Caenorhabditis elegans: one gene and its partners. The protein of the gene in region 4 purifies or fractionates together with the protein of the main gene of each other region. This does not show direct contact. Each region holds a gene or a part of one and is shown on either strand. Other genes may lie near its edges. The genes, in order: tbca-1, ZC443.2, acs-11 and C18B2.4.

What was found.
Region 1: the proteins of C18B2.4 (region 4) and tbca-1 fractionate together in Caenorhabditis elegans (co-fractionation; one large-scale study listed by BioGRID). This does not show direct contact.
Region 2: the proteins of C18B2.4 (region 4) and ZC443.2 fractionate together in Caenorhabditis elegans (co-fractionation; one large-scale study listed by BioGRID). This does not show direct contact.
Region 3: the proteins of C18B2.4 (region 4) and acs-11 fractionate together in Caenorhabditis elegans (co-fractionation; one large-scale study listed by BioGRID). This does not show direct contact.

What each region holds. Positions count from the first base shown.
Region 1 is NC_003279.8:2,309,581-2,315,999, forward strand, and holds tbca-1 (Tubulin-specific chaperone A), read left to right. Parts: upstream 1-2,915; 5' UTR 2,916-2,929; coding exon 2,930-3,118; intron 3,119-3,169; coding exon 3,170-3,316; 3' UTR 3,317-3,377; downstream 3,378-6,419. Other genes in the region: 5-cytosine rRNA methyltransferase nsun-4, read left to right, coding at 1-96, 146-667, 1,274-1,476, 1,519-1,594, 2,262-2,465; eif-2gamma (protein-synthesizing GTPase), read left to right, coding at 3,731-3,740, 3,795-3,883, 3,928-4,133, 4,191-4,581, 5,416-6,024, 6,076-6,180.
Region 2 is NC_003283.11:12,807,591-12,814,616, reverse strand, and holds ZC443.2 (uncharacterized protein), read left to right. Parts: upstream 1-3,424; 5' UTR 3,425-3,458; coding exon 3,459-3,758; intron 3,759-3,877; exon of another isoform or gene 3,878-4,004; coding exon 4,005-4,265; 3' UTR 4,266-4,405; downstream 4,406-7,026. Other genes in the region: ZC443.3 (Glutamic acid-rich protein-like), read left to right, coding at 497-823, 938-1,051, 1,117-1,740, 1,867-2,025; ZC443.1 (NADP-dependent oxidoreductase domain-containing protein), read left to right, coding at 4,559-4,633, 5,028-5,477, 5,591-5,812, 5,862-6,034, 6,082-6,124; ZC443.7 (Serpentine Receptor, class BC (Class B-like)), read right to left, coding at 6,340-6,399, 6,896-7,026.
Region 3 is NC_003280.10:4,738,167-4,747,418, forward strand, and holds acs-11 (fatty Acid CoA Synthetase family), read left to right. Parts: upstream 1-3,970; 5' UTR 3,971-3,972; coding exon 3,973-4,083; intron 4,084-4,137; coding exon 4,138-4,236; intron 4,237-4,292; coding exon 4,293-4,544; intron 4,545-5,024; coding exon 5,025-5,978; intron 5,979-6,870; coding exon 6,871-6,972; 3' UTR 6,973-7,114; downstream 7,115-9,252. Other genes in the region: Serine carboxypeptidase ctsa-1.1, read left to right, coding at 1-683, 1,018-1,157, 1,210-1,546; eas-1 (putative Golgi transport protein 1), read left to right, coding at 2,281-2,311, 2,359-2,450, 2,496-2,598, 2,647-2,722, 2,875-2,956, 3,004-3,045.
Region 4 is NC_003284.9:3,601,418-3,608,994, reverse strand, and holds C18B2.4 (GRAM domain-containing protein), read left to right. Parts: upstream 1-3,253; 5' UTR 3,254-3,260; coding exon 3,261-3,322; intron 3,323-3,391; coding exon 3,392-3,494; intron 3,495-3,614; coding exon 3,615-3,728; intron 3,729-3,778; coding exon 3,779-3,896; intron 3,897-3,944; coding exon 3,945-4,106; intron 4,107-4,153; coding exon 4,154-4,485; 3' UTR 4,486-4,704; downstream 4,705-7,577. Other genes in the region: C18B2.5 (G domain-containing protein), read left to right, coding at 401-483, 539-762, 819-981, 1,028-1,363, 2,015-2,116; C18B2.3 (uncharacterized protein), read right to left, coding at 4,848-4,869, 4,915-5,018, 5,569-5,787, 5,864-5,933, 5,976-6,078, 6,561-6,667, 7,070-7,155.

The DNA of each region.
Region 1 (6,419 bases), on a different chromosome or scaffold from region 4:
CGTGGAAAAGCCGAGGACCAAGCGATTGAGACAAAACGGAAAAGCGTTGAGGAAAAAGCGAATCGGGAGACTCAAAAGGTTAAGCATGAGATTTCAGTAAGTTTCCTACTGATCTTGCTGCTTAAAAATCGAATTATAATTTCAGAATCCCTCAACTTCGACCAATACTGAAGATTCTGAGCCGGATGAAGCGATTTTTCGATCTGCTGCAGGGCTCGGCGAGTTCCGGGCGAGCGCTGGAGAGCTCTCGTCTGGAAGTCTGCAGATGGGATTAGGACAATCTAATCAAAATAAAAATGTAGAAATCACCGGATTTGAAGGAGAAGGCGTTCGAATCCCGAAAAGAGATCACTTTTTCTATTATCCACAGGCCCTCCACGTCCGCTCATTCGATAGAGCTGTCCTTCTAGACTTCCCGGCTCCGATGAAAGATGAAGTCGGAGTTCCGAGTTACTGGCTTCTAGACGGTGGCTCACTGCTCCCAGTTTTGGCTTTGGGCCTTCAAAAAGACGATTCCCTGTTGGATATGTGTGCGGCTCCCGGTGGAAAAAGTCTTCTAGCGGCTCTGTCGAATTTGCCTTCGAAAATCGTTTGTAATGATTTCAAATTGGCCAGGCTTGGGCAGCTGAAGCGTGCGCTTATGACATATGTGCCAGAGGATAGCGAGGTGCAATATCAGTTTTTGTAAAAAAAACAAAAAAGTCAAATTTTTCTGAAAAAAAAATTGATTTTTTGACAAATTTGGAGAAATTGCCGATTTTTTTCGCAAAAAAATTCTTTAAAATTCGGAATTTTTTTAAAATTTAAAATCCGAAAATTCACCAAAAAATGGCTCAAAAATTTCCAAAATTTTCGAATATTTGCTTAAATTACTAGAATTTTCTCGAAATTTCACTTAACTTTTTTCCATAGTTTGAAATCTTCTTTAAAAAAACCAACATTTGAAATTTTCACTCGATTTTCTAGAATTTACTTGAAAAAATGACGATTTTCGTTAAAAACACCTGAAAATTCATTCAGAAATGTGAATTTTTCTCAAGATTTAAATTTCGAATTTTTCCAATTTAAACACCTCAAAAATTGGGTTTTCAGTGAGAAAATTGAATTAAATACGAATTATTTCAACTTTTTTCTGCTCTTTTGAGGAAAATCAGAAAATAAAACAATTTTTTGAAATTAGAGTTTTTTTTTTCGATTAAAAAATGTCGAAAATTCTTTTTTTTAAATATAAATCCCTCCAAAATTAGCTAAAACTCCAAAAATTTTCCTGCAGACAATCGACAAATTCGTCCTAAAACGCAAGGACGCGTCCGACGTCAAAACTTGGGATGAATTCGAGGCCTACGATAAAGTGCTCGTCGATGTTCCGTGCTCGACGGATCGTCTATCAGTCAGCACCGACGACGGAAACCTTTTCAGCACAGGATCCACTCAGCAGAGGCTTGATCTTCCGGTTCTTCAGACCAAGATTCTTGTGTAAGGATCCTCGGCTTTCCCTCAAATTATTTTTCCTTTCAGAAATGCACTGCGATCTGTAAAAGTTGGTGGCTCGGTTGTCTACTCGACGTGCACACTCTCACCAAGCCAAAACGAGGTTTTCGCTCGAACCTGGTCTTGGCACGACAAATTTTTTTGTTAAATAGGAAAATATATGCGCCTTTAAGGAGTACTGTAGTTCCAAATTTTTTGTTGCATCGATTTTTGAAAAACTCCTTGAAAAATGATGACAAATATAGTTTTTTCTCGATTTGTAAAAAATTCGAAAATTGATGAAAAATCGATGAAAATTTTACAAAAAACGTGAAAAACTCAATTTTTCAAAACAATATTCGGCTATTTTCCAATTTTAGTTTAAAAAAAATCGCATTCTGCATTTTTTTTTGCGCTCCCTGCCGTGTTTGCGTATTTTCACCGCTACAGTACCCCGAAATGCTCAAATTTTGCTCTGATAGTTTCACAAAAGTTTAAAATGTGAAGAAATCGTTTCTTTTAACACTATAAATCTCGAATTTTCACTAAACAGTTGAGAAAATCAAATCAAAATTTCAAATTTTGACGATTTCCGTTTAAAAATTTGATTCTGGCTTCAACTCTCGCCCGATCCCAACATTTTCCCTCAAAAAAAATCCCGAAATTCTGCATGCATTTTTTCGTAGGATCCGGTGATTGCGTACTTTCGCGGCTACAGTACTTCTGGCGTGTCGAGACCGGGGTTTTTTGTCGAAATAACAGCTCAAAAATGCTAATTCAAATTTCTTCAGGCAGTCGTCGAGAACGCTGTAGCCGTCGTACGCAATGACTTTGGAATCGTGACCGTCGAGGAATCCCTACATCAACTCGTATCCCATATGACGTCATCAGGCCTCTATCGTTTCCATGACACTCCACTGGGAGCCCTCGTCGTGCCGTTTCTACCCTCTAACTTTGGACCAATGTATATTTGCAAACTGACCAGATTGCAATAGATTTTTAATATTTGATGAATTTTTTTAAATTTCTAGATTTTGCTATTTTTTGTTTGTTTTTTTTAAATCTGAATTTTTAAATTTATGTCTTGTTTTAAAATTTTATTATTTATGCAGTACCCCCATGGGTGCATCTGCCGTTCCATCAGTACCTAATTTCAAATTCATAGAATTTTTCATTGATCCTTCTTGTTCGTTCTCTATGTATGTATTGCGAAATCATTTGAACAGTCGATTTTTTGGCGGGAACCTGTGTCGCCCAACAGACAGCGGTCAATTTGTATTTATTTCGAAATCGCCGAGCGTGTCTGACCATCTGCTCGCTTTCCCGTCCTTTTTCGGCTCATTGAGCACAACATTTTCGGTGGTATTGCGCCTTTTTCTATCGATTTTTAGTCCATAAAAGCAAGCTCACAATCTCGTTCTCTGTTTCAAAAATTCACATTGCAGAACCTCCCGCCGCCATGTCGACCCAAGCCGATCAGCTGAAAGCGCTCCGAATCAAGACGGGAACCGTGCAACGTCTCGTCAAAGAAGTCGCCTATTACGAGAAGCAAGTTGTGAAGGAGGAGCAGAAGGCTGCCCAACTCGCCGCCGACGCCACCAACGAGGACGAGGAGTATGTTGCCAAGAAGTCGAAGGATATTGTTAAGGTTTTTTGAAATAATCCGATTTACGAGTATACGAAATTAAAATATTTTCAGGAAACTGCCAACATGGTCCGCGATTCTCAATCACGTCTCCAAAAAGCTGTGGCCGACCTCCGTGAATCGATTGCTTCTGGGAATTATCCGGAGGAAGCCGCAGAATTCGTCAATGCGAAGACGCTTGTGGACTCCATTTCTGCTTAATTTATGATACTCTTTTGTTATTTTGGGATTTTCGGTGATTTATGATGAATAATTATTGCATTTTACTTGAATACATGGTTTATAATGCCGTATAAATAATTTTAAGAAGCAATTTCGCTAATATTTCCATACGAAAAATATACAGATGTCCGTTAATTCAACGATTTTTGCCTGGTTCGCGCTAAAAAGCAAAACATAAAATTCGAGCTCGTAAATCGACACACGAAATCGCATCGAGACCCTTCCAACCACTCCCATGCGCCTTTAACCCATTTCTAATTTTATCCAATTTTAGCCTGTTTTCTATGCAATCTTTATGGATTTTCAATTAATTTTGAGTAATTTCGATTAATTATAATGATAATTTTTTAAAGATCAATAATCGACTCAACTGGGATCATAAAAACAAAAAATATGGCTTCTGGTAAGTGTTAGCTTTTCGGTTTCAAGAAAATTTCATAATTCTTTCTTAATTTAGAAGCTGAAAAGGACAAGTGCCAGAGCTGGCTTGCGAAACAAGATTTGGACAAAGTCGGAGTCGATAATTTGAACCCACTCACCGAGGAGGTACTGAAAATCAATAATTTTTGAGTTAAAGAGTTATTTTTCAGGTTATCTCTCGACAAGCCACGATTAATATCGGAACTATTGGCCACGTAGCCCATGGAAAATCCACTCTGGTGAAAGCGTTCTCCGGTGTGCATACTGTCAAGTTCAAAAGAGAGTTGGAAAGAAATATTACTATCAAACTTGGATACGCTAATGCAAAGATCTACAGATGTTCTAACCAAGAGTGCCCAAGGCCAGGATGTTACAGGTTATAATATCTCCCTGAAATTTAATTTAAATAAATAATTTTTGAATTCTAATTCAGATCCGCCGGTTCATCAACACCCGATCGGTTCCCATGCGAGCGCGCCGGATGCGGTGGAGAATTCACCTGTGTTCGCCACGTCTCATTCGTCGATTGCCCAGGTCACGACATTCTTATGGCCACCATGTTGAACGGAGCCGCTGTCATGGACGCCGCGTTCTTGCTCGTCGCCGGAAACGAACCATGCCCACAGCCACAAACATCTGAACATCTCGCCGCCGTCGAGATTATGCAGCTGAATCATTTGATGATTCTTCAGAACAAGGTCGATATTATCAAGGAGTCGCAAGCCCGCGAAAATTACGAGCAAATCGCCGGATTTGTGCAAGGAACGGTCGCCGAGAATGCTCCAGTCATCCCGATTTCTGCGCAGCTTAAATATAATGTTGATGTAAGGATCTGAATCTGGATTTAAATATACCACGCTCTCCTCAAGTGTTCATAATTATTAGAGCGCGCTCGCGCGGCACCACACGAACTCCAGAATTCGCGGGAATTCGTTTCGCGGGGACAGCAGTTTTTGGCTATATTCGGCTTCTATGGAAATTATTTTTAATTTTTTTGATTTATAATATTGTTGAGAAGCACCATCCGAATTGAAAATGTGTAAAATTATGAAATCTGACCGAAAACTGAAGTTTTTACAGAGAGGAGTCACCACGGCTTTCTTTAAAATGTATCAGTACCGTCAGTTTTTCGAATTCAGAGTCGTAAAATATGTCATTTTGTAAGTCTGTTTCACGAAAATCCATGTTTGAAATTTTAATTTTTTAATTTCTAATATAAAAATATTCAAAAAATCAACAATTTTACGTTAGAATCTAATTTTTTCAAATTTTCAGTTTTTCATAAGAACAATTTTAAAATTTCAAACATGGATTTTTGTGAAACAGACTTTTCTCTACAAAATAACATATTCTACGACTCTGAAATCGAAAAACTGACTGTACTGATACATTTTAAAGAAAGCCGTGGTGACTCCTCTCTGTAAAACCTTCAGTTTTCGGTCAGATTTCATAATTTTACACATTTTCAATTCGGATGGTGCTTCTCAACAATATTATTAAACAAAAAATTAAAAATAATTTCCATAGAAGCCAAAAACAGCCGCCTAAAACTGCTGTCCCCGCGAATTCTGGAGTTCGTGAGGGGCCGCGCGAGCGCGCTCTAATAATTATGAACGCTTGAGGAGAGCGTGTATACTAGATTAATTGCGATTTTTCAGCTCGTTTGCGAGTATCTTTGCAAGAAAATCCCCGTGCCAGTCCGTGACTTCAAGTCGCCGGCTCGTCTCATCATTATCCGATCATTCGATGTTAACAAGCCAGGATCTGAAGTTGAAAACTTGAAGGGAGGAGTCGCCGGAGGAACATTGACCAAGGGAATTCTGCGCGTCGGACAAGAAATCGAAGTTCGCCCGGGAATCGTCTCAAAAACCGCGACCGGTCAACTCCAATGCCGTCCGATCTTCTCCCGTATCGACTCTCTGTTTGCCGAAAAGAACCAGCTGGAATACGCCGTTCCCGGCGGTCTCATCGGTGTTGGAACGAAGATCGACCCGACACTCTGCCGTGGAGATCGACTCGTCGGTCACATCCTCGGAGCCGTTGGCACTCTTCCAGATATCTTCATCGAAATTGAAATCTCCTTCTATCTTCTGAGAAGATTGCTCGGAGTTCGTACTGAAGGAAAGAAGAAGGGAGCCAAGGTGCAGAAGCTTGTCAAGGAAGAGACTTTGCTGGTGAACATTGGATCGTTGTCAACGGGAGGAAGAGTTACTGCTGTGAAGGGAGACGCCGCGAAGATCAGATTAAACGATCCTATTTGCACAGAGGTAATTCCCACTTTTTATAAAATAATAAATTTAATTTGTATTTAAATTCAGGTTGGAGAGAAGATTGCCATGTCACGTCGTTTCGAGAAGAGTTGGCGCCTGATTGGCTGGGGAACCATTCGCAAAGGTCAAACCGTTGAGCCGTACAAGAACTAGCGGCTATCATCGATTTGTTGTCTACACCGGTTTTGACATATTATTAATCTTTTCCAATTGTTTCTCTCCGTTTTTGTCTCTCTATTAGTCCAAAAAATTTTGTCGGATCCCTGTTTTGGTTCTTTTTTCTGTCCTCCTCCTGTTTCCTACTATTCCACTTCCAGTTTCATTGATTATTTTTCTTTTTGTTGAAAGTGTGCTTGGTGTTTTTTCGATAAATTATTGGATTTGAGTAAAAT
Region 2 (7,026 bases), on a different chromosome or scaffold from region 4:
CGGTCGATTCGACGCCGCAAGACAAAACTCGTGGCTCTATATTTCCACTGCACACGAAGCTGTAGGGTCCTCTTCTCTGACAATGCCACGCCTCTCTTGTCTAGATACATCTAGATTCTCCATCGCTTGTTCCATTCCCGTTTTCCCAATACTTTTCACCCTCTTCTCGCCTGTCGTCATCGTCGTTACATTTGTTGTATAGCCCAGTCAACCAAAGTCATATGCTTTCGTTTTTTCTTTGCTTCAAAAATCCTATTGATAAATTGCCGCTTCATCCAAATTGGTCACATGTTCCGCGAAAGAAACTTGGACTGTATTTTCATTTTTAATAGCTACTGGGATATCAGTTTTTCATATCATTTTTATATATTCTTCATCCAGAAAATCTAGTTTTTGAGTCATCAGAGATTATACTTCTGTAGATTATTCACCATTCCTAATTCATTTTTTATCTTTTCGAAGTTTGCAAAACCGGCGTTCATTAATACTTTCAGACATGGGATTATCGGGCGTTGTTGAAAACCTTCGTTCCCTTAAGAAAACTGTCAAGAAACCAATTGTGGCCTTCCGTGAGACTGTTCACAATGCATATACAAAAGCCTACGTGGGCTCTCCGGAAAGAGTTGATGAATTCTATAACTACATTAAAGTGTACACTCCGAGCAAACACAATGACCTTTGTATGATGAGCATTACTGCGGATATCAATCGATTTTCAATGATTCCCGATAAGAATACATTCTTCCATGTTCTCAAACTCGAGAGACATTTTGACCGGATGATTGCCACTCGCAAACAGCCGGATGTCACTGGGGATATGGCGGTGAGTGACATATCGGGGTAAATATACGGGACAAAACGAGTTATAAGAAAAAAGAAGCTAATGGAATAATATATTTGGTTCGTTCTTTGCAATAAACAAATATTTCCTTTTCAGATTCAAATCCTTTCCGGTCACAATACGACATTTATGAGCAAGTACCGTCGGTACAAAACAAGGTCAGCTGCAAAAGAACTAAAGAGAAGAAACCAGCGATTCAAGGCTCTGGACGTAAGTGCAAGTGAAAATGTGGAACATGTGGCAGTGTCTACTAACTTTTAACTCAAAACTTTCAGGTGAGACGACACACTCAACTGCCAGACTCTGGGAATGATGACTCTTGCATTTATACTAACCGAACTTCATTTGACGTTCCCACAATCAGTCTAGAAGAAGATAAATTAGATATAAAGGATGTGGTTGAATCGATGGCTAGCGATGAAATTCCAGTTGAAGAGAAAAATAAAGAATTGGAGGAATGTGAGCTTGTTCTGAACAAAATCAGATTAAACCGAACACTCCAAAAGATTGAAGAGCTGGAAAAGAAAAACGTGTCGGTTGTTTGTGAACTGACCAAACCAGAAACTGTTGTAGCCGCGCCTGTGCAAGTTGAAAATGTCATTATTTCATTGCCGGTTAAAGAAGATGATTCACTTGCCATATCTGCTGCAAAAGCTAATCTTATTCAAAAAAAGCATCAATCGAAAAGTAGTACAGAAAAGTCGATGATGTCTGTGACAAAGAAACACGAAGCAAAATTCAAAGTTGCTAAATCTGTAACTGTGAAAAAGGATAAAACTGAAAAATCTGAAAACCTTAAATCAGATGTTCCCGAAAAGACGAATGAAGTTACAATTGCAGCATCTCTTTTAGAAGATGTTATGGAGCAACTGAACTTGGATGACAAGAAGAACACAAAAGTAAGTTCTAGCTTAAAGTTTGATTTGTGCAAAATAATAATAAATAAAATGGTTCTCTCGTTATTTCTAATTAATTGTTGGGAAGCAAATTGTTCACTCGTAAAGTTTCAACAAAACTATTTTTAGGCTGCGTCACAATCGAAAATTGTGGACGATGCGAGTGATTCCGATAGTCATGAAGAATTCGACAAATGTGATCAGGATTCAGACGATGGAAGTGACATTGAAGAGTTGGAGAAAATCGAGGACAAGGACGTTGATGCTCTAGAATATGAAATGCTATAGGTGCCAAGTATCTTGCTTTTCTGCCAACGGGTACTTGTGCACTCTGTAACGTGTTTCTTGCTTCAAATTTCTCATTAACATTCTTCCGAATTTTTTCATTTTCAAAATTGTTCAATAATGCCAAAGAACCGTTTGTTTTTCTTTAGTTATTAAATTGAACAAACTGTAACTAAATGTTTTTAACATTCTTATTTGTACATAGAAATGTAACTTCTCTAATTGTTTCATATGTATTCATGTTTCAAGTATTCATTTTTCCTCAACTCCTTATATGAATTTTTGTATAAAATGTAAAAACATCCGGATTTTTCACAATTACCATCCCACCACTGCATAATAATTCTAGATGCCTGCTTGCGCATCATGGCGTCAACAAAACAAAAATGCGTTGTTGTGTTATTTGTTGACAATGACCGGTTTGTAGTAGTGATGGCAGTGGGTGCCACTGCTTTAAGCTTTTCCTTCAAGAGAAAGTGAGTAGACAGGAAAAAAAAGTGAGAAAAATAATAATAGGCTTGATTGAAATTTCTTGTCTGTTCTCATTTTCTTGCGCATGGGTAATGCGTGATACTGAAGCTCGTTAGCATTGTAGAAAACCGAAGAGGGACTTCAAGCTTGAAAGAGGGAAAGTTTTGAAGAGGTGGAAAAATGTGAAAATTGATATAGAAAATCATGAGTTCACGGTGTCAAGTTTCCAATAGAAGGTACAAATAATAGAGCAAGACCAGCACTAAATTTCAGGATAAACACTTTGTTAAAATCTCGCATATTCTAGCTTTAACTAAGTTCAACTAAAAATAGTATTGTTGAGTTTAATTTTAAAATATTTTCGCAAGTTGCGTCCTTGTGGAAGGCTTACTGTACGTATTATGAAGGTACCCACTAGGATGATCCAGTACGGAAGTAAGTCGTAAAGATTTTACCAAACGATTTTTCATAAAGTACGAATTTTTCATAAAGTCTTGTAATTCATAATCGAGGTCACATTGTTGTGGGAAAACCATGCGCTTCACCCACTGACCACCTGATTTCAATAAAAGCTTCTAATATTTCTCTTATCATTTGCTCCAAGCACTCTAGCAGAGCATCATGACGTGTTGTTTTGTTCAATTCTTTTTCTGCATCCTTTACAAAATCAAATCAAAAACAAGCGGGGAAGTGTACGGGGGGTGTGTGCAAATTATAACTCACAAGATGCTTGAGGTGGTCCACTCGTTGCCTCCTTGTTTGTATGTGTGTAGTGTTCCTCATCCTATTTCTCGTTCTCTTTCATTTTGTCTGCTTCTCTACAGCTTTTGTCCATTTATTCTTTTGCATACGATTGGCTTTTCATTTACTTTTTGCATACTTACTACATTTATCCATCTCTTTCATAATAATAACAATAATAATATTTCCAGGGACACTTCCTAACTAACCTGCTTATCTTCAAAATGTTCGAAAAAGTAATCAAACTATGGAGAGATACATTCCCAAAATCGGAGCACAAATTGATGTCAATTGAGTATGTCGCTGCGATTGAAGAATTCAATGAGTATTTCCCTGGATATGCTGCAATGAATGATAGTAACTATTCAAAACTTCAGCATTTCTTCCGTTCTCTTCACCCAATTGGATGTATTAAACCTTTCCGATTTCATTATTCATCGGCATTTGCATTGGAAAACTCATTAGATGACTATCTTCTAAAAAATGCTCAATTCAAAAGAGACGGCTTAGCTGGAGAATGGGCGGTGAGTTTCTAGAATTGTTTTAAATAAAGATGTCAAAATCTTGAACACGTTTGGCATTATTGTCTTAAATTTGAAATTAAATTCCAGTCTGAAAATTTTGAAAGTTTGGTTGGCATATATCAAATGTAGGTTTATTTTGTTAAAATGTACAATGAACTCACAAAAACATCAAATTAACTTTTTAATCCTGTTAGGAAACAACATACACCAAATTCTCTACAATTGAAAAAAAAATCGAATTTTTAGATTCACATCTTTGCCGACCACAACGACCATATTATTGAAAAATACCGAATGTACAAGAAGAAACGACTTGAGAAACTGGAACGAACTTTTGAGGAAAGAAAAAAGAAAGCAGAGAGAATGAATCAAAAGCATGAATATCGCTTGATGTGGTATTTAGGGAAGGAAGGATATTACAAATACACCAATTCACGACTGGAGAAGATGGAAAAAGACCGAGAAATTAGAAATAAAAATGGAAAGGAAATGGAACAAGTCACCTAAACTTCTGGTACTTAAAAATGTATTTTGTGTTCTTCCAAGTCGTCATTATTCGTCTACTTCTACCCATTTGACATAATCTTTTCCTCATCATTCCCCTCGTCCATGTTGTTAATTTCAATAAAACGAAGTACAAATTGGAACAGCGCAAACTATTTTCTTTATATATTAAGAGAAACACACACACAGACCACAAATTCAAGGTCTTTCTTCCAGTTTTAATTCGATAATTAGGATTGCGGTTTGTGTATAAATATGAAGTACCCCCAACTATACAAACTTTATTTTCCTTCGAAATGTCATCAAAAGTTCCAATCTTCACTCTGTCTAATGGAGTTCTCATGCCAAGTATTGGTCTTGGTACCTGGCAGGTAACATTTAAAATTAGTTTGAAGTTTAGAATAAATTAACTACCATTAGCAAGGATTTATTCAACACTTGGTTGTAATGTTACTTGAAATTGCCAGTTTTTGTACATTGATATAATTTTTAGGAATTTTATTAAAGTTTCGGATAGCTGTACCCAACAAATTTCAATAATTCAGACAAAAAATGTTTTATCGGAAATATTTAGAAGCAGAGAAGCAAACTAGAAAATAATTTTTTCGCTCAAAAATCTGTATGAGCCAAAGAAAAGAGTCCACTCTATAATTTCTCAAGAATTTGTTGTATTGGTTCAGTTGTTTACAAAATTTTGATATTTTTCGAAACTTAAAAAACAATTGGCGTCACTCTTTAAAAATCATCATTTTCTCTACTTAATAGATGACGGGAGAAGAAGGAAAAACAGTTATCCGAAATGCAGTTCTTGCCGGATATCGTCACATCGACACAGCTACTCTTTATCAAAATGAGCATCAAATTGGAGACGCTTTAGCTGAATTGTTTGCCGAAGGGATTTTAAAACGTGAAGATATTTTTATAACAACTAAAGCGTTCTGTCATGAAGTTGCGCCTGATGTTGTAGAAGAAGCATTGAGAAACTCACTGAAAAGACTTCGTTTGGATTATGTTGATTTGTATCTTGCACATATTCCCGCATCAACCAAAGACGATGGATCGTTTCGTTCTGATGTAAAAGTTGAAGATATTTGGAGAGGGTTCGAGAAAGTGTATGGTTTGGGATTGACAAAAGCAATTGGTGTTTCAAACTTCAATGAAAGTCAGATTGTCCGAATTATGAATATCCAAAAAGTTCCTATTCACGCTTCTCAGGTGACCTGCTTTCTGTTTTTTTATAATTTCTATGAGTTAAAAAATATCAAAAACAACATAACTCTGATGAAATTTTTTTGACAATCTTCATATATTTGCATCAAATTTTTCAGCTTGAGCTTCATCTCTATTTGCCTCAAAAAGCTCACAGAGAGCTATGCAAAAAACACAACATCCTCATAACAGCCTATGCGACGTTAGGCTCTCCTGGAAGAATGTCTGTCGTTGGTTCAAATGGTAGACCTTTGTTTGAAAGCACTCAAAATTCTGAAAATGAAATGAACGACAAACATGTGAAGGCGCTCGCACAGAAATACAGTAAAACTCCAGCTCAGGTAAATTTTCAAATAATCTGTTTACAATTTTGTGCCGGATTATTTTCAGATTCTTCTCCGGGCTACAGTTGAAATGGGAATTATAGTTATTCCAAAAACTACGAATCCTGAAAGAATGAAAGAAAACATCAACATTTTTGATTTCAACATTTCAAATGCTGAAGTAAATCTCCTAGAAGCGCACGAGAGAACAAAACAGGAAAGACTTTTCTGGTGGCCAAAGTATTTTTTTTTAAGCAACAAAAATGATACTGAACACTATTTTTCAGCGTTGCTGATCATCCTGAAGATCCATTCGCGACACAGAGATAACAAATGTCCAAAAGAAATATAAATACAAATTCTACTTTTGTTTTGAACCAAAATAAACAATTTTCGATCTGTTCAAAATATTTTATCCTTGGAAATAAGGCACTAATTGGAAACAGGAATTGTGCTGCTACCATAATTTTGAATGCTGCTCGTATGTCTTATACAAACTACTTTTTTCATCGGGACAACTTTTGCACGGTGCAATTGAATGGATACTACAATTGATTCAATCGCTCTGCCAAACATTTTGGAGCAGCATCGTATGGTCCCATTTCCTGAAATTTTTAAATGGCTCTCAATTTGGATGTTCTCATAACATATCAAATTTGTTCGTTTCGGTATAAAGAGTTATGATACTCTAGTTTGATTATACGATTTTTTTTTAACGTGCGAATGCACTTGCGTGGATTCGATGTATGATGGTTCAAACTATGGGAAAAACTTAAAATACAAAAATCATTAAAAAAAATCATATGTAAGTTTGTGTAACATGCAAACGTTTCAAACTTGCCAAAATTTAAAAAAAAAACCTTGTACGTTTTAAACGCGTACCTACTTACCGACACAAGGTAAAACTCTCAAAAGGTTTATTTTTAAAAAAAATTTCGTTTCTAAACGGACTTTTGATAAATGCATTTTTAATAATCCAAAATAATCGAATACAAAAATAAAAGACTGTCGTGTTTAACATTTCTCTCACTGACACAAACCATCATTGTGTCGAATTTGAACGTTTTTTTTAATTGAAAAGATTCAGTTAATGCGACCCACCTCATATATAAAAATCGTTCTGGATGCAATGAAAGATGATGAAAAATCAAACAAAAGTACAATTACTGTATCAATCAATGCTAATTTGTTAACTCTCGAGAGCTTTTCGTGACGAACTTTTACCATGTCAA
Region 3 (9,252 bases), on a different chromosome or scaffold from region 4:
CATATGTTGCCAATGAAGATGGAAAGACTCTTCGTGAAAACGAGTACTCATGGAACAAAATGGCTTCAGTTGTCTATATTGAGTCTCCAGCTGGAGTTGGTTACTCGTATGCCACTGATGGAAACATCACAACCAACGATGATTTGACTTCTCTTGAGAACTACGAAGCTGTCAAACAATTCTTCACTGAATTCCCACAATTCCGTCATCATCAGACATTCATTATGGGAGAGTCTTATGGAGGAGTTTATGTTCCAACTCTTACCGCAAGAATTGTTGATGGACAAAAGGACTTCCCAATTAACTTGAAAGGAATGGCACTTGGAAATGGATATGTTAATGAGAAGCTTAACATTGATACCTCTGTCAGATTTGCTTATGGACACGGACTTATTGATGAGAAGATCTGGAATACTCTTGAGAGAGATTGCTGCAGAGGATGCATTGATTCATGTGATTTGACTCAAGTCACCGGACACTGTGCAACTCTCGTTGAGGACATCTTCCAATTCTTGTGGTTCGGAGGATTGAATCCATATGATTTGTACAGAGATTGTGATCCAAATCCATCAGTGAACAGCAAGAGAATGAAGCACATGTTGAGAGGAGTTGCTCCAGCAATGGCCCATTTTGATGAGCTCTTGAAAAATCAAACAAAGACTTCCCTTTATCAATTTTTGAAAGTATGTGGGGTAGCAGCAATGGGAAAATGTAAAAATATCATTGGAAAACTTTTCAGAAAATTTTTCAGTACTCAGTTTTCACCTAGTGTCACGGTAGGTGTCACGGTCATGAGATCATTATCAGCAGTTTTTTTTTTTGAAAACTTTGAAAATTGTTTTGTGAACGAAACCCTGCAAGGATTATATTCAAACAATTTTTTTGCCATCCAAGTAAAAAAAATTAAAATAGGAAAAAGGTTATAGAATTTTTTTTGGTCAAATTGCATATTTAAAACTTTTTTAATTTGATCAATAATTACCACCATAGCAGTCACTTCATATTTGTATCTTTCAGAACAAATCTCAATCCCAAAAGCCACTTAAGGCTGATGTTCCATGCCTCAACGATACTGAGATGCTCTCCTATATGAACAATCCAAAGGTTCGTAAGGCAATCCACATTCCATTCAATCTTGGAAAATGGGATATCTGCAGGTGAGCCTGAGCCAAAGAGCCCAAGCCCAGAGATCAAAACAAAAATTTTCAGTGACAAGGTGACTACTACCTACCAGAAGCAGTACACCGATATGACTCCATTCATCAAGAAGATCGTCAAGAACCACGTCAGAGTTCTTTTGTACTATGGAGATACTGATATGGCCTGCAACTTTATGATGGGACAGCAATTCTCTGATCAACTTGGACTTCGTAGAACACTTAAAAAGACTCCATGGAAGTATGATAGACAAATCGCCGGATTCAAGACACTTTTCGATGGGCTCAGTTTCATCACTATTCGCGGAGCTGGACATATGGCTCCACAATGGAGAGCTCCACAAATGTACTACGCCGTTCAACAGTTCCTGAATAATCATCCACTTTAAATTTGGAGAACAAATAATATTTTTATCTTCTTATTTATTTTTCAATCTATTGGTCAATTTTCCAAGTTTTGAATAATGAAATTTGATTTTTAAATTTTGTGATTTTCGAATACACTGAAATATTTTTCAGAAAGCTTCCAAATAACTGTAATCGGTTTACTCATATGACGTTTGGATTAAAATTTCAAGTAATTTCGATTAATAAAACTGATGTTCTACTTATTAATACGTTGTACCTTTGGAAATAGTCAATAAATAATTGGAAAGTCTTGTTTGTTCGAAAAAATATCGATTTGAAATCTCAAAAATGCCTTTTGTGGCACTTCCAACCAACATAGTTACTTTTTGTCCAATTTCTCAATAAAAATCGTATTAATTGAGCGAAAATACTACGAATTCAAAAGTTTACCATTCAAATTTAAATTTTCCTTTTTCCCGCCGATTTTCGCTACTTCGGCCATGTGCGAGTTTCTAGGCCACGCGGAAATGCACGGCGGCCACGTGGTCCGCAATTTTACGTACACGTCATTTCCGCGGAATTTCCAGTTTTATTTTCCGATTTTTCGCTTAAATTTTTCAATTCGAGATAAAATCAGTTTCATTTGCTAAAAAGAAACGCAAATTTATTTCAAAAAATCAATAATCTTCTTCTATTTGTTTTTCTATGACCGATTCTTTTGAGAATTTAATTTTTTTCAGCCGTTTAAAAGAGAAACCACTTGGGTCCAGTCAAAATGATGAATTTCGAAGTAAGCACAACAAAACGTAAGTTTGAAAATCAGAAAATATATGTAAACTGTGAAACATTTCAGAAATCGGAGTGGGGTTAACGACGTTCGGCTTCTTTTTCATATTTCTCGGAGTGCTGATGTTCCTTGATTCTGCTCTTTTAGCTATCGGAAATGTAAGTATTTATTGTAAATTTAAAGCATAAAATTATTATTTTCAGCTTCTATTCATTGTTGGAATCACATTTATTATCGGCGTGCAGCGAACACTTGTTTTCTTCTTCGAATTCCGAAAACTGAAAGGAAGCATTCTCTTCTTCGGAGGTTCGATCACAAGGAATTCATTATTTTAATTTAAAAATTTATTTTCAGGGATTTTGGTAGTTCTATTTGGGTACCCATTGTTCGGAATGATTGCCGAGTGTTGGGGATTTATTGTCCTTTTCGGGTGAGTTTTTGACTAAAAAATGTTGAGTTTTCTAAATATTTGCAATAGAATCAATATCTTGAATTTTCTGCTCTTTTTCTTCGATTTGTAACAAACATTTTGAACTAATCGCTCACGAAATTAAATTTAATCTAATAATAATGAATTTACAGTGGTTTCCTGCCTGGAATTGTCAATTTGCTCAGAAGTATCCCCGGAATCTCAACAATCACATATCTTCCTGGAATCCGACAGGTCAGTTCTAACGAATCAGGATTTTTATCAATTATTTCAAGTTTTAGGTCCTCGATCGCCTTGCTCCAGAATCCAAGTACCCCGTCTGAAAAGTTCAGGATCTTCCCAAAAATCTCACCAAAAATGGGTTCTATTTTCTTTTTTGTTGAAAATATTTTCTCCTGTGTTGTCCCTTCTCCTCTCATATCACGTTCGGTTCAACTACGATTTCGGCCAAAATGCACATTTTCTGTGTAATATTATTCAATTTTAATTTATTTATTATTAAAAATTTTAAATTTTATCTCATTTCTAAAATATCCCTCAGCCTTTGTTGTATAATACGCTTTCATTTTCTTCTGTTCCTAGGTGAAAAATGTGATTATAATTATTTATTAGATTCCCTTTTTTCCTTTTCTTGTGTTCTGACTCGATATCCATTACATGACTCATTTCGATCAAAAAAAATGATGTTCTATGCTTGTTCTTCAGATCAAACAAATCACGTTTTCACCACCAAAGAACTCATTTCGACGAAGGTTTCTTCTCCCTTCAACCTCTTATCTTTGTTGCCATTTTTAAGAATGACAAATCGAGAATACGAGACGCAGGGCCAACAACATCTCGTTATAAGAAACGGTCAACCCGATCAATTCACGATTTTAATTCAGTTTTCTACAGCTTCCTGTTTTCAAGCACTGCAGATTTGAAACAAAAACCTTGTTTTAAACTTAGAATCTACCTGAAAAGTCCGATAAAAACTGAAAAAGTTCTTACTCGTAGAAAAAATTATTTTTAAAAGAAAAAAAATGCAGAAATTGATGAAATAAGGTTAAAAACCAAATCAAGCATTTTTGAACATCATTTTGAAATAAAAAATTGAAAATTTACGGTATTGTGCATATTTTGTGCAATTAGAATGCGAAAACTTTGAAAAAAAACTTCCAAAGTTGAATTTTAAATAGAAGTTGCCTAATTTTCTTGAATTTTTCATTTTAAAGCATTGTTTCTATTACAGAAAATTAGATATTTCAGAAATGCTCAGTCGTCTAGTCAGCTCCGTCCATCCACAAATTGGGCTCCGTGCCGCTTCTTCTGCAGCCAACAATATTGTCAGTCAAGCTCAGCTTCAATCCGATCCTTCGAAGGTTGCTATTCAATATCCTTCTGAACGTTTTTTCCATAATTTTATAATTTTCCAGCTCCTCTTTATCGATGGCGATCGCAAAACGACTTATGGAGAATTTGTTAAACGAACTGGGCAATATGCAACTGCTCTGACTGAAAAGTACAATATAAAGGTCATTTTATCTTTAAAATTGTATAAATTCAACTTTTCAAATTCAAATTTTCTCAGAAAGGAGACCGTGTGATGGCTAGAGTATCAAAAACGACCGATACAGCTGCTCTCTACATTGCTTGTCTTCAAATCGGAGCACTCTATATTCCAGTCAATCCAGGATATACTGAATCTGAAGCTGCTCACTATATCAAGGATGCGACACCTTCGATTCTAGTCTCGTGCAATGAAGAATTGGATAAAGTTTTCAGAGATAAGATCAGGGTTATCAACGAGGATAAGTTGGCATCTGAAGCAGGAAGCTTGAATGTAAGCTGGAAAATATGAAAAATTTAATAATTTTCAAAAAAAAATTCAAAATTGAAAAAACCACAAATTCCTTGTGATGCTAATCAAGAAATATAGAAAAAAATATTAATTTTACTTTACAAATTCGTGAAAACTTGAGCCTCCAGTTTAAAGGGACACGATCTTCTTCTGCTTGGGTCTCGTCACGATCTCAGCCACCGTGCAGTATCTATTCTGAACGTTTTTAGAAAAAAAAATTAAAAACCAAAATTTTGACAAGAATATTAGGAAAATAGGAAAAGTGTTTGGAGTACAAAAGTGACTACTTTTTTTTGGATTTTTCGGTATCGAAATACCGATCAAACCAAAAAACGCCGTGATCGTGCCGAGACCCACCCGGAAAATATCGTGTGCCTTTAAACTGACATGTCAAAATTAAGTCAAAAGAAAACACAATATACATACTATCCATGCCCAATATTCAAATGCAACATTTTCCAGGCATGCACCATGATCGAACATGTCGAAAAATCGGATCCCGCATCAGTTTGCTACACTTCAGGAACCACCGGACTACCAAAAGGAGCAATCTTAACTCATGGATCATTGTCTAACAACGCACATGATATTGTCCGAGACTGGGGATTTACTGGAAATGATTATAATCTACATGCACTTCCATTCTATCATGTACATGGACTCTATTATTCCCTTCATTGCTCTTTATTCTCACATTCAACAATGATTTGGCGGTCGAAATTTGAAGTTGAAGATTGTATAAAATACATGAAAAATGCGACGGTTATGATGGGAGTACCAACATTCTTTTCAAGACTTTTGGCATCAAAGAATTTCAATAAAGAAGCATTCGGAAATGTTCGAGTATTCATTTCTGGATCTGCACCTCTATCAGTATCTACAATTGAAGAATTCAGGGAAAGAACTGGACAAGTGATTCTTGAAAGATATGGTATGACAGAAGCTGGAGTTATGACTACTAATCCATTGAATGGAGAGAGAAAAGCTGGAACTGTTGGCCCGGCTGTACAAGGAGTTGGATGTAGAATTGCAAAAAATGGAGGAATTGAAGTGAAGACAAATGCGATTTTCGCTGGATATTGGAAGAATCCAAAGAAGACAGCTGAAGAATTCACTGAAGATGGATGGTTTAAAACTGGAGATGTTGGACATCTTGATGAGGATGGTTATTTGACGATTGGTGGAAGATCAAAGGATATGGTTATTACTGGAGGATTAAATGTATATCCAAAAGAACTTGAAGATTTCATTGATACACTTCCATTTGTTAAAGAATCTGCAGTTATTGCATCTCCACATCCAGATTTTGGAGAAGCAGTTGTTGCAATTGTAGTCCCGTCGGAGAAGGTGACTGATGAGAAGGAGTTTGAGAAGAAGCTTATTGGAATTATGAAGAAGAAGGTTGCCAATTATAAGGCAAGTTTTTTTATTTAAAAAATAATCCGAAATTTCAAGATTTTTGCGCTAAAAATACGGTACCCGGACACGACAAATTTAAATGAAAAAGAGTGTGCGCCTTTAGAGTACTGTAATCTTGAAATTTCGTTGCATCGAATTTTTCATCGATTTTTTTTCATATTATGTCAAAATCTGTGCGTTTTTTTCAGTTCTATAATGAACGCATATTTTTATTCAAAAAATTATAGAAAATGGGTGAAAATTTCGCAGAAACAAAAATTTTAAGCTACAGTACTCTTCAAAGGCGCACACCTTTTTGTATTTGACAAAAAAAATTTCGCGTTTGGCTAATATTTTCTGCCATTTTTATTTTTTTGTTGTGAAACTAATCAATAAATGCAGAAAAACTTTAAAAAAATTGAATTCGTCTTGCTGTTTTCAATTTTCTTTTTCATTTTTTTTCTGTGTGCGCCAAGATTACTGTAATCTCAAATTTTCGTTAACGATGATTACTTACTTATTCAGTAAGTAATTTATTAATTAGAAGCACTAAAATAAAATTATGAAAAATCCCGCAGAAACTAAAGTTTTACGTTACAGTACTCTTTAAAGGCGCACAACTTTTTGCATTTAACAAAAATGTGTCATGTCGAGACCGGGTACCGTACTTTTGCGTCAAAAATCTCATAATAATCCCCTTAAAACTTTTTTTTTGAGTTTTCAAATTTCCATCGGACACCGCAATTCTCGTTCAGATATTTGTAATTTTTCAAGTTATAACAACCTGTTTTCAATCAACTTCTATAAAAAAAACATGTGATTTTTATAAATGTTTGATAACATACCTATTCTGCAAATAGGATACAAATATTAAAATCAAATTATCAAAGCTCAATGTCTAACATTTCAGGTTCCAAAGCGAGTGATTGTACTGGATGATTTGCCACGAAATCACATCACTAAGGTCCAGAAAAACGTTCTCCGTGACACCTACAAGAACCTCTTCGCCTAATTCCATTCCCAGTCAACAATACATCCCCAAAATATAGATATCATTTTTCTATTTTCAAATTGTAAATATTTCATAAGTATTGTAGAATCTTTTGTACAATTTTTCAACTTTTAACAGTAGAAAATAACAGTTGTTTATAGATATTTTTTGTTTCTATTGTTCTCCACACACTTTTAGGACGACGTTGTCCTCCTGACCCCGTAATCAGTCAGACTATTCTTAAGATGAGAGACATTTGATTATCAGATTAACATCAATGATATTATATATCTTGGCAACATCTTACGCGGTCAGTGTGTACCCGTTTTGGACATGTTGGAATCACGTGAAGCCCGTGAGAACTTTGGCTATAAAGAGAAGTGAAAAGACAAAAAGGAAGATAAAAAACGAAAGAGTATAGTGATTTATGACACAGATTTGCCCATGGTTTTTGCGAAACTCTTTGCCGAAACTCGATGTGTGATGTGCTAAATACTGTACTTCGAAATGCTTGTCAGCTTCCTTATGGTCTCACCACGAATTTTTTTGAATTGAAACTGCGGTGTGAGCCTTTAAAAAGTACAGTAACCACTTAGCCATTATTCCGCTTTTTTTGCAAATACATGCAAAATAAATCAATACCCAAGGAAGTCACAAAATTACGAGAGGTAGGTTACTGTACAACTTAAAGGCGCTTTCGAGAAGACCCAATTCGAAATGTTTTCATCGTGGCAGCAGCGGGTATCTTAATTTTGCAGAATTCTGAGATATCCTGTTAAAGGCGCACGGATTTATTCCGAGGCCCACCTGAACGAATCCGTGCGCATTTAAGTAGATATGTCTAGGTCCTACGAATATACAATAGCGTATTTCATGATTTTTACACGTCCAACATAAGCCTAAACCTAAAGAAAAGTAAGGAAATGTACCATTTTGCAAATTTTTCTATAAATTATAAATTTACTTTTAAGGCTCCCACTGCGGGCAAGTACGTCTTCAGGCGTGTCTACCTGTTCACATGCCTACTAGGTAGGCCCCGGGCAGGCGTCGTTCGCCTTGGAGGCTGGCAAAAATTGTCCTGAAAATAAACTTACAAATCTGGAATTGTTTAAAAAAACCATCCATAAGTTCCTCGAAGTAGTTCCCCATGCACCTAGTTTGAACCTGCTGGGATCAAAAATTCCGCTGTAAAATATCCAAACGGGAGCGTGAATGAATCATATACAATTCGTCAAACATCTCTCGGTCCAAAAAAGAAATACAAAGAAAGATCTATAACACTTGTTATTTCCCCCGAACAGTGGTTAGTCGCCACCACCCACGCGTAGGAATTTCTTCGAATTTGATAAGAGAGCTATTGAAAAAGAAAAAGGCGACTTTCAACTTTCAAAAATCAGAAAAATGTGACTTCGCCTTCAAAGTGATCATTTCAGAAGTATTTTCAATTGTAGAGAGTGTACATAAAATGGAGAGACATCATGGAGACCTGAAAGTTTTATAAATGGGAGGACGATGGACGGAGTGGTCGGACCTGGACGACGACACTAGCCATTGTTTTCTTCGTTTTAGTTTTTTTTTTCTGATAGCTGATAACTATTTTTTCTTTTTGTTCATATTTTTGAATGGGTCTTGCAGCGAAAAAAGTCCTTCGCTTATTTGAAATTTATTTTTGTTCTTGCTACTTTATCTTAACATTCCGAAGTGGGTGCACAAATGTATTCTACTTTCCCGACATTTGGGCAAAAATACGGTTCCCGGTCTCGACACGACAAAAAATGTAAAAATAAATATATTCTTATCGGGAATCTATCAAAAATTGATTAGTCTTCCAAAAAGCAAAATTACAGTACTCTTTATAGGCGCAAACCTCTTCGCAATAAAACAATTTGTCGTGGCGAGACCCGGTAATATAATTACATAATAAATTTTTGGGTCCTTAAGTACGCATTTTATAAAGTTGATAAATTATAGTTTAAACTTTTGCAGTTTGAAGCTTTGCTTTCACTCATTTTTCTTAAATTTTCTTACCTTATCAATTCCCCTTCTGCAACAATAAAGCTTCTGTAGAAGCCGTAAGGTGTCAAAGTGCATAAAGTGGATTCACGTGATTCATTCACGTGCCACATTCCGATACAGTAGTCAAGTGTGTGTCACGCCCCTTTTCCCGCGCCGCCCATCCGCGCATACAAATCTCCGCTGCCACACGCATTCATTCTCAATCAGATCATCTTTGATTCGCTGTCAATGGTTCTACGATGTCTGGCTCGATTATGGAGATCGTGTAGAAATGTTTAATCTAGA
Region 4 (7,577 bases):
AAGATCACAATGCTCTAGAGGAACTTGTGTAGTATACCATACCCAAAACTATTATCCAATACGCTTTCAGTCGTTTCTTTCAAAAATGATAATATAATCAAAACTTGAACTACATTTGCATTTTTAAGCTCAGGAAACACTAATCCCATGCCTAATGTAGATTTAAAAAAATCACGAACATTTTTAAAATGGTTAAAACTTTCGGGCCAGGTGTACTGCACACACTCTACAAAAGTGTATAAATTATTTAAAAGAAAAAAAACCATGCACCTGCAAAAATGTGTGGCAGTTTTCAATTTTCTGTTTGTTCAATTTTCTGAGTACAATCAACGTTTTCTGTGCGAACTTCTATGTAAAACATATTATTTAAATTTTCTATTGCGTATATCGAATATTTAAGAGAGCGTGGACTCAAGCATCTACGAAGAGGAGGAAGCTCGTGTCAGCCCACTAGCTGCTAAACAAAAGGCAGCAGGAGAACATGTAAGTCATTTATTTTTCATATGAAAATTATTTTAATATTCTTAAAAATTATTAGATTGCAAGCAGCGGAAAATACGAGCTCGTTGTTCCACAATACTATGTTGTTGAAAACTTCTCCAAGAATGACAAGATCAACAAGGTTATCATTGGAGGAGATGCTCCACCAAGTGACGATGACAAGACTCTGCTCCTGTTCGGTCCAGTTAATTCTGGAAAGACTTCTGCTATTACCAGCATGATGAACTATTTGTATGATGTTAAGAAGGAGAATGATTTCCGGTAACTTAATTTTTTAATTTTCAATGTTATAATGTTCATTATTCTTCTTTTTTCAGATTTGTTTTGGACGAGCATGTGAACGCAACCACTGGACTCACCGCCTACGTTTTCAACAACACTGTTCTTCCTTATAACGTCACTGTTGTTGACACACCCGGGGTTGAGGACAAAATGGGCAACAAGACGGTCTCGCGACTTATCAAGCAGTGGTTTGAGAAGGTGAACTATTGAAACTTTGCAAAAAATTCTAAATTTCACGTTTTAGGAGCTTCTCAAATCTGGATCCTTCCGTCTTGATGCAATCTCAATTGTTTTGAGACACGACGAGAATCAACTGGGATGGCCGTTCATTTATGAGTTGGCTGATGTTAAGAGAATGTTCGGAGACGATTTGAAAACAAACGTTCTGCCGATTATCACCAACTCTGAAGTTCTCCCACAGCCAATTGCCATCAAAAGTCTCACACAGGCCAACATTTCTTTCCTTGAATACTACAAAGTTAACAACTCGGGATTCGCACCACTCCCAACAGGAATTTCCAAACTTCAACATAATCTCTACTGGACACACGGAACAGCTTCGTTGGAGAATCTTTTCAGAGTAAATATTATGGGTTGGGGAAGTGAAATTTAAAACTGAAAATACTAGGTGTCTCAGTCTGCGTATTTAACTCGGTTTAGTTGAAAATAACTGAAAATAGTACACTTTATTTGAAAAGTAATTTTGGCTTTCAAAAATCATCTTTCAAAAATCATCACATGAAAGCAAAGAACATAAGTATAAATTGAGGCGTCTCAAGATTATTTTTCAACCCGTCCGGGATCAAATTCAATTCAAACTTATATTGAAAAACGTATGCAGAAAAAACTGTATCTGATGAAACTTTAACATATTTTGAACTCCAACTTCAGCATAATTTTAATTTATTTCATATGTATGGGAAGGCTTTCAAATATTCAAAATAGAAAACTTTCCATGAAAACTATTCCGGTTTTTATAGTAATTATGACATAAAATTTTTCAAATGTGCTTATGAACATTTAAATAATTTTTTTAAACATATTTATATATTTTTGTTTTCGGTTTAGTTCTAAGCTTTTTTCATATCAAGTTTTTAACTCATATTAACTCACTTTTCAAAATTGTATTAATAATGTTCGAATGTGAGAGATGATATTAATTTTTGCGGTTTTGATAGGTCAGCTTATTATCTATGCTTCTGAAACTACCTTATTAAATCTTTCACTTCAGGATTTGCAAGAAACTGTCCACCCACTAGTTGCCATCCTCCGACACAACAAGGGACAAAAAGTCGAACAAGCTCCAGTGTTTGCTGATAAAGTGTTGTATTAAAAAACAATTTATTATTATTAGTATTATTATTTGTGTTTTCTGATTCAATGGTTTCAATTTAATCTCCGATCCACTCATTTTGTATTTATTGTTCGACTTAACATTTTTATCCAACGCGACTCGATAAACATTCCCTATCAATCGTTTTTTTTGTTTTTCAGCTTCATTTCTTTTCGCTAAGGAACTAATATAATTTTTGGCAGAATAATATTGTTCATTGATATTTAAATCAAAAATACAAATAATATTATAGGAAATTCTAGAAATTTCGACATATCAGTTAAGAGGAACGCTATTACAAGTGTCAAGTTTTACAAATATGATTACCTAGTGTATAAAACGAATTTCAGGAAATTTTAATTTTCAAAGTGTACAGAGAAAGCCTAGATTGATAGATACTATCACTTTCAAAAGTTCCTTAAAATTCAAAGCAAATGATGATACTCATTTTAAAGTGAATTAAAATTGTGAACATAACATTCGAACTTTTTGGAGCTTAGGCCGGATAATAATGTGTTGAACTATACAGAAACAAAAAAGAAACATTTGAATACTTTGGAGTACATCTACTTTAAAAACCAGAAAAGTTTCAAATGAATTCACCAAATTTTTAAGAGTCTTTCAAATTAACATAATAAATGTTCTCTTATTTATTTATTTTAACTTTCACCACAAATTGTTCAACAAATTAATACAACTACTTGTTTTTTTTCCAGAAATGTTTAAATACACGACCAAAATCGACTCAAAATTTTCCAAAAGTAGCTCGTTGCCTAATTACCTTTATTTCCCGGCAATTCTGCCCTTATAATAATAAACCTTCATATTCATGATTAATGGCATCGATACTCCCCTCTCTATCTAATGGCAAACACTATTTGTCTTTCGCCACTCACCACTCACTAGAGAGCCATGACTTGTGAGAGACGCAGAAAACAAGGCAATGGAAAACGCGCTCCATTGCGGGTCTCGGGGTCGTGAGTCAGTGTTGGCTACCCTCGCCGTATGAAAACGTTGCCATCACGCCATTCCATGCCGTTTTTCGTCGATTTCGTGTATTTCGCAATTCCCGATCTGCTCATTAATTCCATTTTCCTCCTTAAAAAGCAGTATTTTTGATTTTTTTTTGTTCTTCAGCAGCACCATGTCGCTCAACACGTCGCACACACCCGATGGCCAAGGCATTTTGATTTATAATGGAGAAATGTAAGTTTTTTAAATTCTTTCTCAAAACTGATTCTTTTCAAATTATGAAATAAGTTTTTATAATTTCAGGATTCTTCTCTACACAACAAATGTAAAGCTGAAGTTCGAGAAGTACAATGTTCCTGCGTTCAAGTCCACCAAGTCGGGAGCCCTCTATCTCACTTCACACAGAGTGAGTTTTAAAGTTTTTGAGTTGCAAATTTTCATTTCTGGATAGGTTTTTTTTTTCATTTTAGCTGAAAACCAAAACGTTTGATCCTAAATTTCAAATATTTCAACTTTATTTTTTCAGATAATTTTCATGAACGAGAGCAAGAAAGATGAGTTCAAATCCTTCGCGATGCCATTCAATTCAGTGCGAGATGTGAAACTTGAACAGCCACTTCTCACCCCAAACTATCTCAAGGTTTTTTTTTCAATCTTAAATGACTTGCAGTCACATTTTTAATTTTTCAGGGATGGGTTCAACCAATGCCTGGAGGCAACTTTGATGGATGTCCGGAATGGCGTTTGTCTTTCCCGAAAGGAGGATGCATCGAGTTTGGAGAGGCACTTCTTCGCGCTGCTGACATGGGTACGATTGTCTTGAATAGTTCCCATCAATGTTTTGGTTCTGTTTCAGCATCTAGAGCTCGTCCATTTGCTGCTCCACCAGCATATGGTGGAAATATGCAACAGCAATCAGGCACTACGTACTATGCTGCTCCACCGACATACTACTTGGTGCAAGGGACATACCAAGGATTCCAAGCTCCGACGAACGTTTTTCCTGAGCGCCCACCTGGTAAGATTTATGACGTAGTAATTTCTTCGAAACAAATTGTTTTCCAGCACAAAACGTCTACGTTTACGACATGCCTCCACCATACCCAGGAATCGGACAAACCACGCCGTATCCTGCCGGACAATTCCAGCCAGTCGGAACCGTCCAGTACCAGAATGTTGGGGCGTACCCTGGACAACCTCAACAGCCAGGACAATACCATCCTTATCCAACTAATCAACCACCGCAGGGAGGATTCAACGTCGGACAAGGAGCTGCTCCTCATCCTTCTACTCTTCCAGATTATAACAATATTCAACAACAATCTAGCGCTCAGCCACCAGCCTACAATGCTTACCAAGAAGCTCCACCACTTCCATCCAAAAATGGACCGTTGTAAAGTTTTAATTTATCCGCTTAAAGCTTATGAGCTTGTATTTTTCAAAAGTTCGTGGCTTTTCGACTCTTCAATCCAATGATTCCCGTCCTCGCTTTGTCCGTCTCCCCGCATGTTTATATACAACGGTGATGTTTAATTTACTGAATGAATGTAATTATTTTGATTTTATTGGAATATCAATTAAAGTATAAAACAAGAAAAAAAAGAATAACTGAACCGAGCTGCTCATCGCACTTTGTTAAACACCAAACAAAATGCGAAAACGGCGTCAAGAAGTCGTGTAGAAAGAACATATCGTGAATGTTGAATCGCGATGGAAAAATGTTGAAGTCGATGAAATGGATCAGAAGGTTTTAGAAAATTTAATAAACGCGTCCTCCAAGTCTGAATTAAGAATAATTAATTTACCAAAAACTAAAACCTCAGTACCTGTCAAATCGGCTAGAGTAAGAGTAGTTTCCACGGCTGAGAGATGACGAGAGGTTGAGCTCCTTCTCGCGACGGGAAGCCCAAGTAGCTGGTGAAAGCCAGTACTAAAATAGATTGCACTTCATTTTATTAAAAAATAATACTTGTGCAGAGTGAGTATCCAGTTGTGAGGCTTTTAATAAACCCGAATTTTGGTTTTTTTTTAAATTGAGTTTTAAAAGATTATATCTAGGCTCAAGTGTGAGTAAGAAATAAATGAGTATATACAAAACTCTAGAAAACTGGATAATACATATTTTTAGTTCAGCCAGTAATCAATTTTTGAATAATACAAAAGACAAATATGTATCGCCAAAACTAATCAAATTAATGAAAAAGAAATATTAATTTGTAATTCACTTAAAGCATGTTTTTCAATACTCCTATTGAATGAATATTGCCATCAAGCTTTATTTTTAATTTTCTAGAAACTGCAAAATACATTTTCAACTGACTGAGGATAAAAAACCGAATTATATTTTTCTTCAAAATTCAATGACTCTATGGATTTCTTAATTTATGCGGTGCCTACAAGAAACTGCTAAGATATTTAATAAACTCGAAAATGCAAGACTAATGGAGAAAATACAACAGTAGTCTAAAAAATTGCGTTACCTTCGACAACGTTCCAACTGTCATACATCTCTTCTTGTACATATCCAAGGCGTCATCAACTGGCATATATCGGACGTAGCTTCTTGCTGATGCTAGTGGTCTCTCAACACGTTTTTGGTAGTCGGGACGGGTGAAAAGAGAGGTGTTATAGGCATTGAGCTTTCCCTCCAGCCAACGCTTAGTTCCAATATCACGAATTCCAGAGTGGTGGCCGTAGACCTGAAGATGAGTTTTTGAAATAATAGTGAGATTTGATACTGATTCTGTAAAAATTGGAACTACTTATAAAACTTACCGATTCCGATTGAGTCAAAATGCCGAGTCCGGTGTCAGTGTTTCCATAGCTGTATCGAACATATGGGTATCTGAAAATATAGCTTCATATTCATTATGTGCTGTAAACGTACTTGTCGGTGTAATGTGGGGTACTACGCTGAACTCCAACGCTGTGGAATGGTGGAGTTGTGGTGAGCGCCGATGCAGCGAGAGATCTTCCAAAGATAGATCCACCTGAAATTCAACAAGTTGTTTTTTTTTATTAGAACGTAGTTCTTGATATCGCTTTCTAAGAAAGTGTGTCTCTCTCTCTCTCTTGAAACTCGCGTGGGTGTAAATCGAGCAATGAGCAGCTGGCTCAGATAGAGTGAGAAAAGAGATGATAAAAATGAATTGCAATTCATTTTTTTTTCTCTTTATGAAAGTTTTCATACATATTGTGTCGCATTTTTGGCATTGATAATCACCAGATTGTGTGAAAACAAGACATCAAGAAAAAACTTTACTCGCGATGGCAACAACAACCCGACAAAAAGTGCATAGATTATCCAGAACCCTGGATGTGACAAAAAGTTGAATGAAGGACATGTACGTTATTGGGATAGGAGGAGATGAGTGTCAAACGGCTAGAACACAAAAGAAGAAGCCAATGACTCCGATGAAAATAACAAGCACGATGAAGCACGCGCTTTCAATCACATAAGAAGGTTGCCTACCGCATTTGTTGATTGAACGGGCCATATAGCCACCACCGTATCCATATTCGGGACGAGAGAACCGGTTGCTGGAGGTCGATCGGGTGACTCCGGAGAAAGAGTTGGATCTGGAACTTTTGATGGTGAAGGTTTTTACTATAAGATGACCAAATTGGTATTAGTGTTTTGAATCAACTTGTTTTCTAGTTGCATCTATGATTTTTTTATTAACAATTTCTTTTCCATCGTATTACTTTCAAAAATATAAAAGCTTGGTCTTGGCTAATCTTAGGTTTTTTTCTGTTTTTTTTTTCGATTCTGATCTATAGAAAATGTTCTCCCTCTTAATTGACGTTTTCACTATTACTAGAGTACAAAAATATTCATATGATTTTTAAGTGAACATTTTAATATCGAAGTTTAAAAACAAGACCTCTATCAACACTACACTATACTAGAAAGCAGCAACTTTTGACTTTTAGATAGCTTATCGGTAACCAATTTTAATTTGTGATCGTTGGTTCATTTACCTTCTCATTGCAGCTGAACGAACATCGCTTCTAGACCGTGTAAGTGGCGAGATATGGTGGAATGATGGAGATGTGAGCAATTCCATTTCGATCGTCTGCAAAAATGAAATAGCGGATGAGTTGTGTGGCAAGTAGCTAGGAAAAGAAAGATTGTGAAAAGAAACTGGCCAAACGTTTGGCATTTTTACACTCTCATCGAGTTGAAGGAAAACGACGGCAGCTAAAAAAATTGATCGTGTAGGATGGAGGAGAAGAAGAGGCGCTCGAAACATAAAGATCTAGCTGCTCGATGAGTGGGAGAGTTGTGGAAGGAAAAGAGTAAGAAAATGATGATACAATGGGAACCATACATCTCTACCTGGACGAAGATTTTTGATATGCAAATGTGAACGAACAAAGGAAGGGGAAAAAGGTGCCACATTGCATGAACAAAATACAAACAAAATTATTTTTCAAATTTGAATCCTTACAGGGAAAGTATTTCAGCTCAGTAGCTCAGATTTAAACT